3 linked regions of the Macaca mulatta genome follow. The protein of the gene in region 3 interacts with the protein of the main gene of each other region in a pairwise test. Links are inferred from orthologs where the notes say so. Each region holds a gene or a part of one and is shown on either strand. Other genes may lie near its edges.

The links.
Region 1: the proteins of CCDC33 (region 3) and GRN interact in binary tests that used the Homo sapiens proteins (3 or more experiments, as listed by UniProt). The two-hybrid records come from large-scale screens. The link is inferred for Macaca mulatta from reciprocal best matches to the Homo sapiens genes CCDC33 and GRN.
Region 2: the proteins of CCDC33 (region 3) and PTK6 interact in a two-hybrid assay, tested with the Homo sapiens proteins (2 studies listed by BioGRID and IntAct). The two-hybrid records come from large-scale screens. The link is inferred for Macaca mulatta from reciprocal best matches to the Homo sapiens genes CCDC33 and PTK6.

Annotation. Positions count from the first base shown.
Region 1 is NC_133421.1:68,729,073-68,732,105, reverse strand, and holds the end of GRN (progranulin), read right to left. Parts: intron 2,958-3,033; coding exon 2,848-2,957; intron 2,615-2,847; coding exon 2,488-2,614; intron 2,289-2,487; coding exon 2,191-2,288; intron 2,104-2,190; coding exon 1,858-2,103; intron 1,634-1,857; coding exon 1,400-1,633; intron 1,308-1,399; coding exon 1,077-1,307; intron 988-1,076; coding exon 850-987; 3' UTR 540-849; downstream 1-539. UniProt on the Homo sapiens protein: Secreted protein that acts as a key regulator of lysosomal function and as a growth factor involved in inflammation, wound healing and cell proliferation. Regulates protein trafficking to lysosomes, and also the activity of lysosomal enzymes.
Region 2 is NC_133415.1:116,406,766-116,410,414, forward strand, and holds part of PTK6 (protein-tyrosine kinase 6), read right to left. Parts: intron 2,525-3,649; coding exon 2,371-2,524; intron 1,597-2,370; coding exon 1,435-1,596; intron 1-1,434. UniProt on the Homo sapiens protein: Non-receptor tyrosine-protein kinase implicated in the regulation of a variety of signaling pathways that control the differentiation and maintenance of normal epithelia, as well as tumor growth.
Region 3 is NC_133412.1:52,149,653-52,153,875, reverse strand, and holds the start of CCDC33 (coiled-coil domain-containing protein 33), read right to left. Parts: upstream 2,879-4,223; 5' UTR 2,494-2,878; coding exon 2,473-2,493; intron 1-2,472.

The DNA.
Region 1 (3,033 bases), on a different chromosome or scaffold from region 3:
CGTAGCCCCCAGGCCCAGGCTGGAGAGGGGCCCAGGGGCCTTGGAGCCGTTCCGTGGTAGGTGCTGGGTTGTGTCTTGCAAGGGACCCTGTGTCTGCCTCCAAGCCGGGGAGGAAGGGGGGTCCAGCCCCCAAGGGGAGGTGCCGGGGAGGAGGGCTGGGGGGAAGCAGTGCCTGTGTAGACGTGGCTGTACATAGAAAGCTCTATTGTGGGAAAGCAGGAGGGGTGACCCAGCCTCAGCTGCTAGTGTGAGGGCTGGGAAGGGAGGGGGCGTTCTCTCTGGACCCCTGGGAGGGGAGGGGGTGCTGCTTGCTGACTAGCCCATCTCTGGGCTACGATGTCACAGGGCTGGTGGCTGGGACAGCTCTGGGGACTAGGGGGTAATGTGATACAGCCGATGTGGGCAGCAGCAAATACAAAACTGGTGAGGTTAAGGCTGTGTGTGTCTTTCTGTGGGGTAGGGGAAGGGAGTGTTGGCAGTGGACATGAACCCTTGCTCTGGGGCCCTGGGGAGGGCAGGCAGGGCGGCAAATCAGACACTTTTAAGAAAGTGTACAAACTTTATTGGAACTCACACACGCACACACACAAACACCCCTGTGGATAGGGAAAAGCACCTGGCCACAGGGTCCACAGAAATGGGGAGGGGATGGCAGCTTGTAATGTGGCTTTTGCCACAACCCCTTTCTGACAGGGAAGGCCTTAGATTGAGGCCCCACCTCCCATGGTAATAGGGAGCTCAGAATGGGGGCCAGGGAGAATTTGGTTGGGGAGAGGTGCTAGGGAGGCCTGAGCAGAGGGCACCCACCGAGTGGGGTACCGAGGGCTGCAGAGTCTTCAGTAGTGTCCCTCACAGCAGCTGTCTCAAGGCTGGGTCCCTCAAAGGGGCGTCCCAGCGCAGGGCCTCCCTGCGCAAACACTTGGCGCCCCTGGCTGCGCAGCGGAAGCCAGCAGGACAGCAGTGGCGCCGATCAGCACAACAGATGCCCTGGGTGGTCAGAGGGGGGTGAGAGGGTTGGATGAGGTGGGACCTGGTCCCTGGCCATACCCAGCCCCAGGGTGGGGGATGGCACTCACCTGGCGGTAGGGACAGCAGGCCCAGCCCCCTCGGTTGTCTCGGCAGCAGGTCTGGTTATCATGGCAGAAGTGCCCTCCCCCACACTCCACGTCCTGCACACCCACGTGAGGGCTACGGGCCAGGAAGGTGGCAGGCTGGGCAGAGACCACTTCCTTCTCGCAGGATCGGGCCTTCACGTTGCAGGTGTAGCCAGCCGGGCAGCAGTGCTGGCGATCCTCGCAGCACACAGCCTGGCGGGGAAGGGAGCACAGAATGGCGTTACATTCCTGTCCCCTCGCCGGGCTTAGCTCCCCTATCCAGGGGCAGGCAGGGAGGTACTCACGTGGGGCAACTGGCAGCAGGCCCAGCCCCCACCCAGGCTTGGGCAGCAGGTCTGCCCCACTGGGCAGCTGGTGTGCTGGTCACAGCCCATGTCTCTGGGGTGGGATAAGGAAGCCTGGCGGGCAGGCATCTTCTCCAGTCCAGCCACGATCTCGCTTCCCCGCTGACACCGCCCCTCGGCTACACACGTGTAGCCCTGGGGGCAGCAGTGCTGGTGGTCCGAGCAGCAGACAGCCTGGGGGGTGGGCAGGAAAGGGCGTTCTAGGTAGTCACTATGTGGGGTGGGGCACAGTGCCGAGCCCCTACCTACTCCAGCCCGCCTCTCCTGCTTACAGCACCTCCAGCTGGGAACGAATCTGACAGAGCTGGGTGTCACCTACTGGCCATGCGGAGGGCGGAAAGCAATAGGAGTTTGGCCACCCACCTGCCCAGGCCACGATGCTGTCCCCTCCCATGTACCTCTGGGACTGGACAGCAGCCCCACTCTCCAGACATGAGTTGGCAGCAGGTATTGGAGGGGGGACAGCTGGTGACATTATCACAGGGGACATCTCTCTTCAAGGCTTGCGGGTCTGGCAGGCTGAGGTGAGCTAGGGTCTTCTCCATCCAGGACACCTGGTAAGTTCCCTGTTCACAGGTACCCTTCTGCGTGTCACACGTAAACCCCGCGGGACAGCAGTGTATATGGTCCTCACAGCACACAGCCTAGGGCAGATGGAGAAGGGCCAGTGGGCACTGGGGCCCAGTTGGCTGCCACACTGCTCAGCGCACCCACCCACCACCCCTGGGTACCTGGGTAAAAGGGCAGCAGCCCCAGGCCCCCGACTGTAGACGGCAGCAGGTATAGCCATCTGGGCAGCTCACCTCCATGTCACATTTCACGTCTCCCACTGTGAGGGAGGCAGAGAGGACAGATCAGAAGTGGCACTGGGGACCCTCAGCGGTATCCACCCTTTGCCGGCTCCACAGCTGGCACCAGGTGTTGAAGATGGAGGGCACCACCTACACCACCTTGCAGTGATCCTAAGGCCAGGCCTAAAAGGGAGGAAAGAGGGCCCCACCCCTGTATCTGTGCCCTGCCTCTGGTACCTGTTTGTGCAGGCAGCTTAGTGAGGAGGTCCATGGTAGTGTTCTCCTTGGAGAGGCACTTACTCTGGATCAGGTCACACACAGTGTCTTGGGGGCAGCAGTGCAGGTGGTCGGAGCAGCACATGGCCTGGGTGGGGACGGGTGAGTCTTTGTCACTTCCAGGCTCAGCAGAGCACAGGGAGCAGCCAGGCTGATGGCTGGCACTGCCCCAATCCTCCACTAGGGGGTGGCATGAACCCTGCATCAGCCAGGCTCCCAGCAAGCAGCCAGCCAGCCCCATGCCCCAGAGCCCCGTAAGGTGCATGTCAGGGCCAAGTGGCTGGGGGCACACAGCCAAGCTGGCTCCAGCCCCTCACTCACATTGGGCATTGGGCAGCAGCCATACTTCCCACTGGGCAGCTCACAGCAGGTAGAACCATCAGGGCACTGGGACCGTGCATCCGGACACATGACTGAGCTGGACAAAGCCACTGGAAGAGAAGCAAGTGTGAGGGGCAGCCAGGGTGGAGGGAACTTTTTGCCACACTTGGAGTCAATGAGGCCCCA
Region 2 (3,649 bases), on a different chromosome or scaffold from region 3:
AAGCCAGGTGTGGAGGCTCACGCCTGTAATCCCAGCACTTTGGGAGGCTGAGGCGGGTGGATCATGAGGTCAGGAGGTTGAGACCATCCTGGTGAACACGGTGAAACTCCATCTGTACTAAAAATACAAAAAATGAGCCGGGCGTGGTGGTGGCGCCTGTAGTCCCATCTACTCGGGAGGCTGAGGCGGGAGAATGGTGTGAACCTGGGAGGCGGAGCTTGCAGTGAGCCGAGACCGCGCCACTGCATTCCAGCCTGGATGACAGAGTGAGTCTCAGAAAAAAAAAAAAAAAAGAACCAAGGAGTGGTTCCTAGTGGCCTAGCCCAGCGATTTCCTTTCTGGAAGTTTGCTATGACGCGGGAGAAGCTCGACGCGGAAGGACCAGCGAAGAAGCTCATGACTGCGTGATGTAGGCGGCGGGAACTTGAGCAGGATAATGGCTGAGTGACAGCAGCATGCGGCCTGGTGGTGCCTGTTAACCCCCCGTTCCGTCGCGGAGGACCCTGAAGGGCGTGGGGACTGTCTGAGATGATCACGGAGCCTTTCACTCAGAGCTCAAACGTGAGTGGCACCTCAATGTAGCTCTCCTCAGACACACACGGCATTTTTCCTCCACCACAACGTTCCCTCCCATTCTAACATTGGAATCCAAACTGCGTCTTCACGCACGGGCATCTCAATTCCCTGCAGCGATTGTCTTTGATTTTGGTGATAAAGGAAATAATGGAACTTAGAGACGATGAAGTCTTTGAGCCAATGTGATCTGTGTGTGTGTGTGTGTGTGTCTGTGTGTGTCTGTGTGTGTGTGTCCGTGTGTGTGTGTCCGTGTGTGTCCGTGTGTGTGTGTCCGTGTGTGTGTGTGCCTGGTGTGTCTGTGTGTGTGTGTGTCTGTGTGTGTGTGTGTGTGTGTGTGTGTGTGCCTGGTGTGTCCATGTGATCTGTGTCTGTGTGTCTGTGTGTGTGTGTCCGTGTGATCTGTGTGTCTTGTTTGTGTGTCTGTGTGTGCATGTGTGTGCATGTGTGTCTGTCTGCATGTGTGTCTGTGTGTATGTGTGTGTGTCTGTGTGTGCCTGGTGTGTCCGTGTGATCTGTGTCTGTGTGTCTGTGTGTGTCCGTGTGATCTGTGTGTCGTTTGTGTGTCTGTGTGTGCATGTGTGTGCATGTGTGTCTATGCATGTGTGTCTGTGTGTGTGCGTGTGTCTGTCTGTGTGCATGTGTGTCTGTGTGTGTGCGTGTGTCTGTGTCTGTGTGCATGTGTGTCTGTGTGTGTGCATGTGTCTCTGTGTGTGTGCGCGTTTGTCTATGTGTCTGCGTGTGTGTGTCTGTGTGTGTGTGTGTGTGTGTGTGTGCGTGCAGACGTGGGGGTGTGTGTGCACTTTATTTCCTCGTGCACCCCCTTTACCTCCAGCGAGAGCCCCGGCCCGTGCCACTCACCACGAAGCAGCTCCAGCAGGCTGCCCTTGCCCATGAGCTCCGTGATGATGTACACAGGGTCCCCCACGGACACCACGGCGTACAGTGCCAGGATGTGTTTGTGCCGCAGCTTCTTCATGGCCTGGATCTCCGACTGCAGCGTCTGCTGGTGCAGGAGGTTGTCTGCGGGGATGGGTGGCCTTGGCAGGTGCAGCCCCTGACCCTCCCCTGGCCCCAAGGAAGAGGCCAAGGCAAGGCTCTGCCCACACACTCAGCAGCTGTGCAGAACACCGGACCTCCTGCCCCCGACAGGGCACCTGGCTCCTGAGGCCACAAAATGGCGGACACAGCCGGCCCCACAAGCCGCCAGCCTGGCATACCCATGGGGCCGTGGTGGCCCCCCAATGTCTTCCTGCGCCCGGCCCAGACCTCTGACGTGGAGGCCAGACCTCTGCTGGGGCCCAGGCAATTTCCAGGGAAGCTTTTCTTTTTGAGAGGGTGTCTCGCTCTGTCACCCAGGCTGGAGTGAGTGGGCGCCATCTCGGCTCACTGCAAGCTCCGCCTCCCGGGTTCACGCCATTCTCCTGCCTCAGCCTCCCGAGTAGCTGGGACTACAGGCGCCCGCCACCTCGCCCGGCTAGTTTTTTTGTATTTTTAATAGAGACAGGGTTTCCCCATGTTGGCCAGGCTGGTCTCAAACTCCTGACCTCATGATTTGCCCACCTCGGCCTCCCAAAGTGCTGGGATTACAGGTGTGAGCCACTGTGCCAGGCCTGAAATTTTCTTTTACAATTAATGTATTTAGGTAAAAACAGGTGCAGTTGAAAGGGAACCACTCCTGCATGGGTGCTGTGGGTGCTGCGTGGGGCTCGAGGCCAGAGGTCCCTGTTGGCGGGGCGGGAGGGTGGCCCAGGGTGGGCACGGGGCCACACAGAGCCCTGACCGGGGCTCACTCACCTCGAGAAATCACCTTAATGGCCACCTGGACCCGGTCTTTCCAGAGCCCCTCGAAGACCTCCCCAAAGTAGCCAGACCCCAGCTTCCTGCAGAGCGTGAACTCCTCCCTCGGCCTCTCCCAGTCATCCCAGTGGGGCAGAGGCTCAGGCTCATGCTGGAGGGAGAGTCGGGGACACAGGGCAGGGGCTCAGGCTCACGCTGGAGGGAGAGTCGGGGACACAGGGCAGAGGCTCAGGCTCATGCTGGAGGGAGAGTCGGGGACACAGGGCAGGGGCTCAGGCTCACGCTGGAGGGAGAGTCGGGGACACAGGGCAGAGGCTCAGGCTCATGCTGGAGGGAGAGTCGGGGACACAGGGCAGGGGCTCAGGCTCACGCTGGAGGGAGAGTCGGGGACACAGGGCAGAGGCTCAGGCTCACGCTGGAGGGAGAGTCGGGGACACAGGGCAGGGGCTCAGGCTCACGCTGGAGGGAGAGTCGGGGACACAGGGCAGGGGCTCAGGCTCACGCTGGAGGGAGAGTCGGGGACACAGGGCAGGGGCTCAGGCTCACGCTGGAGGGAGAGTCGGGGACACAGGGCAGGGGCTCAGGCTCACGCTGGAGGGAGAGTCGGGGACACAGGGCAGGGGCTCAGGCTCACGCTGGAGGGAGAGTCGGGGACACAGGGCAGGGGCTCAGGCTCACGCTGGAGGGAGAGTCGGGGACACAGGGCAGGGGCTCAGGCTCACGCTGGAGGGAGAGTCGGGGACACAGGGCAGGGGCTCAGGCTCATGCTGGAGGGAGAGTCGGGGACACCAGTGGGGCAGGGGCTCAGGCTCATGCTGGAGGGAGAGTCGGGGACACAGGGCAGGGGCTCAGGCTCATGCTGGAGGGAGAGTCGGGGACACAGGGCAGGGGCTCAGGCTCATGCTGGAGGGAGAGTCGGGGACACAGGGCAGGGGCTCATCCTTCAGGAACTGCCAGTCTGAAGCCAGCGCAGGGAGCCTGGATTTAGCCTCAGATTTAGGGCCACGTTCAGCTTGGGTTGGGGGTTTCTGAGTGTCTGACACGAGGCTGGACTCTCCCGGTGGCTGCCCCAAGCCCAGCACAAAACACCCGGAGAGACTGAAGCCAGGACCCTGCAGAGTGCAGCTGGCCTCTCCGAGAGTGGCCAGGCCCAGGGGTGGTCTCCTGGCCCCACCCCCAACTCAGGCAAACACCTGTGTTCTGCAGAACCACGGGCTTGCCTCCAGCCGGCCACAGCTCAGTGAGTCAGGACCCCTCCCATGCTGCCTGGCCAACC
Region 3 (4,223 bases):
ATGATCCTTGAATTCAGCTCCTGTGGGTGGGGTGGGGGAGCTTAACTTGGTTCTGGTGGGGAGAGAGATGGAAGGAAACAAACTCTTCCACCCACGCCTCCCTTGCCACCCCTCTCCTCCAGCAGTCTGGGAGGCCTGAGGAGCTGAGCCCGGTTCTGCCCTCCAGAAGGACCCTGCATCTGAAAAGTCACACCAGCTGGAGAGGGGCTGGGCTGCGAGGCAGGGTGCCTGACTGCCCGGATCTGTCATTTAGGCGAGTTATTTGACTGCAGTGGGGCTATTTCCCAGCAGTTTCACAAGGACTTTCAGTTAAAAATGGTTCCCCATGTTCCTTCTAGCTTTGGCATCTAAACTTGCCTGGGAGTTACGGTGGTCAGGGGAAAGCTCTTTTTCAGGTGAGGAAGCACACTCAGAGAAAGTAAACCTCTTGCGTGAAAGCACACGGCTTAGCTAGTGGGGCCGGGGCTGGAACTGGAAGCAGGGTCCGTCTGACCCCACGCTCTTGCTGTCTCTGCTGTGCTCTGACCATGCTTCCTTGGATGTGGGTCCCTTCTCTGCTCCACAGTGGATACCCCGTTGAACTCATAACCTGAGTATCCATTGGTGGCAGCAAGAGGAATTGTGTTCTTTGGAGCAGAGAAGCATTCCCAAAGATGACACAAAAGTCAGAAATCATTAAAAAAGGATAGGTTTGATTACATTTAAAAAATCTATACAAACTTCTGTAATGATCCAAAATGCCCTGCAATACAAAGAAAAGGAAAAAAGGAGAAAATGTTTGCTATATATTTAAAAAAGGATTAATATCCGTAGTATACAAAGAGCACTGAAACCTATAAGCATTACCCAATTAAAAAAACATGAACTGGGTATTCACAAAAGAAGAAACACAAATATATATATTATATACATGATGAGCATCCTTTTTTTTTTTTTTTTTTTCTTTTGAGACGGAGTTTCGCTCTTTGTAGAGACAGGGTTTCAACATGTTGGCCAGGCTGGTCTCAAACTCCTGCCTTGGCCTCCCAAAGTGCTGGGATTACAGGAGTGAGACACTGTGCCTGGCCAACATCATTTTTTTTTTTTTTTTGAGACGGAATCTCACTCTGTTGCCTAGGCTGGAGTGCAGTGGAACGATCTCGGCTCACTGCAACCTTCATGTCCCAGGTTCAAACTATTCTCCTGCCTCAGCCTCCTGAGTAACTGGGATTACAGCTGTGTCCCACCAAACCCAGCTAATTTTTGTATTTTTAGTAGAGACGGGGTTTCACCATGTTGACCAGGCTGGTCTTAAACTTGCCTCAGCCTCGCAAAGTGCTGGGATTACAGGCGTGAGCCACCCCCCCGGCCATGATGAGCATCCTTATGGGCGATTCTACCCAGCTATCAAAGTGCTTCTCAAAGCTACCAATCAAAGCAACCTTGGCTCCTTCTCAGGACTCCCACGCACACTCCCTGGATCCCCAATCCCAGCTATGTGGGGCAGGTGGGGACCACCTGGCAGCTTAGGGTGCCAGATCAAACTGGTGCCTGGTCCTGAGTGTGTGGCATTACAGAAAGAGTCTTAATGGGGAGGGTGGAGTCTGCGGAGGTTCAGGGGCAGCTGTGGGCAGAGAACATCAGGAACCAGAGACATCAAAATCAAGGGTAATAAAGTGGAAATCACACTAAGGCCTGAGCACCCCCAGCTATTTGGCTTATTCAAGCTGAGTATAACTACAAAGAGGGTATTCCCCGTTTGCAAGTACCGATGTGCCTTTGGTCTCAGCTCCTTCTGGTATCCCTGTGGGTAACACCATCTAGGGCAGGGGCTCTGCCTTGCTAGTGAGAGGAAGGTAAGGGGTCCCTTGCACTGAACTGTTTATATCTCATTGCAATAAGATTCTAGTCCCTTCCTGGCAGAACCCTGCTGCTAGGCCACAGCTTTTTATTAAGCACCCACTATGTGCCAGGCACTGTTCTGAGTGCTGGGGATACAGAGATGAACAAAACACACAAAAATCCCTTCTCTCCAGAGACCCAAGCATCTGCGTTCCAGGGCAGGGGCCTAGGCCCCAGAAAATCAGGGCCAGGGCTAGGAGAGCATGGGGGCAGTGGGGGCATCAGGGCTGCCAAGGTAGCAGCCTGGGAATATCCTGGGAGATATTGGATGGGGGTAATGAACCATCTCAGTGGGCTCTCAGACTGTGTGACCCCAGCAACAAGAGGGCAGAAACAAGCAGGTAAGGGTGGTCAGCACTGACAACACCCGCAAGTACACTGCATTCCAGTTCCCACGTGGCCCAAGAGTATAGGGCAGCTAACCTGGGAGAGCCACAGAGACCGCCTCACTCCCCATTTCACAGCTGTGAAAACTGAGGCCCAGAGAAGGGAAGCTTTTGTCATGATTAAGGAACAAATGAAACTTTGAAGGAGAGACTTTGAAGGAGGGATGGATTCATGCAGGTGTGTGGCCCATTCCCCTGGCCTTACCTTTTTGTTTTTCAGTCCCATCCTCTTGAGGCCAGGAGTGTCTGGCCTTGTTTAACAATCTTGGGGACGAGTACCTGGTATAAGTGGGTGATCAGGCATCAGTCCTGCCCAGACAGTTGGCCTGGGCGTCTTGGAGTCCTTATGGTTAGTGGACAGTATGGAGGTCAATGTGGTCTCAGGGGTGCCACACACCAGCCCTGGGGTCTGGATGTTGGGGAAGGGGGAGGGTGGCCAGGTGGGGGCAGGTCCTCGATCTCTCAGCAGCAAGATGGTCTATGGGTGGAGGGGCCTAGGGGGTTGCAGGCCATGGCCAGTTGGACAGGGTCAGCAACGAGGCGATTGACTCTTGGCACTCCCAGGACGGTGGAGAGATGGGAGAGCCCTCTCTCTGCCCAGGCCTGGAAAAGCAGTGAGCTTTTCCACCTAGCTGGGTCACCTGGGCAACATTGTGTGATGTCACAGGGCAGGGCCAAAGTCACACAGGCACCTGTCCAGGTGCAGTGAGCTAGAACACGAATCTCTTTTCCCTATTCCTGGAGCTGTGTTCCACCTGCCGCCTGGCACTCAGGCCTCACCCTTCCTGTTCTTGGTGCCTCACATAGTCTCCACCGACCCTGTGGCATGGCCAGCCCCATGCCGCTCACACTGCAGCAAAAGAGGAAGCCAGACACTGCTCTCAAGAGCGTGGCAGCTTGATCGGTAAAACAGCTACTTCTGTTGAAGAATCTACCAGCCATCGTGCCTCTTTGGGTACCTATAGTCTTCCATTTATTTGATAATAATAAACACAAACTTCAAGAGGATGGTTTCTTCTGGGAGGGTGGGTGGGAAGATGGGGGAGAGAAGAGGGTAAGAGCATACATTCTAAACCTTTGGGTTTTTAGATTGGGTGGTCAGTTAATGGGAGTTCATTATATTATTGAAAATAAATTAGAATTAAACAACTAAAGAAAGCCATGATGGGCCAGTGATGGCACTAGAGTATGAACCAAAGATTGTGGTTCAGTTCTGAGTGCTGCAAGAAATTATTACGAAGACAAAGTATGTCTTTTAGTGGAGCATTTGCAGCACACCAGGCAGGGTTCTAAGTGCTTTTGGTGAGGTGAGATGGCAGAATGAGGAGAGGCTAGTCGTTGGCCTGGGGTGGGGAGTTGTTCTATAGAGAGGTGAGGTCTGAACTGGGCTTTGAAGGATCATCAGAAATCCTGGGCTAGAAGAGGAGGGATCTGGGGTGCTGGGTGGTGGTCAGAGGTGTTTGGGAGGCCCCTGTGGCCTGCCTCATTTCTACCTATTTTGGGCCCCATGTTGGAGATTCTTTTAATCTGGCCGAAGAGCAGGACCAGCCTGGCAGCCAGGAGGCAGAAGACTCCTGCTTTGCAGAGGCCTCCCAGCCTCCCTCTCTACCCCCCCTCCAGAAAGAGCAGCAGCGAGGATGTGGTTCTCCCCAGGTTAGAGACAGAAAAACTGAGGCTTTGTCTTTGATTAGAACTGAAAGGACCAGCCAAGACCACCCAGACACTGGTGGGAGATGGAAGTCGGGAACCCCACTCCTAATTTTCTCCCCGTCTAGGCCTGCCAAGAGTGGTACCGCTGGGGCTCTGGGACTGGGGGCCTGACCAGGAATGGCCTGGCTGTGAGCACTGTGCTTTATCTCCCTTGTGGGCCAGCATGTCCCAGCACAGTGTGTATGTGTGGAAAGGTCTCAGGGGCTGCTCCCCCAGTCTCCCTAAAGCACCTCTCTCCCAGCCTCT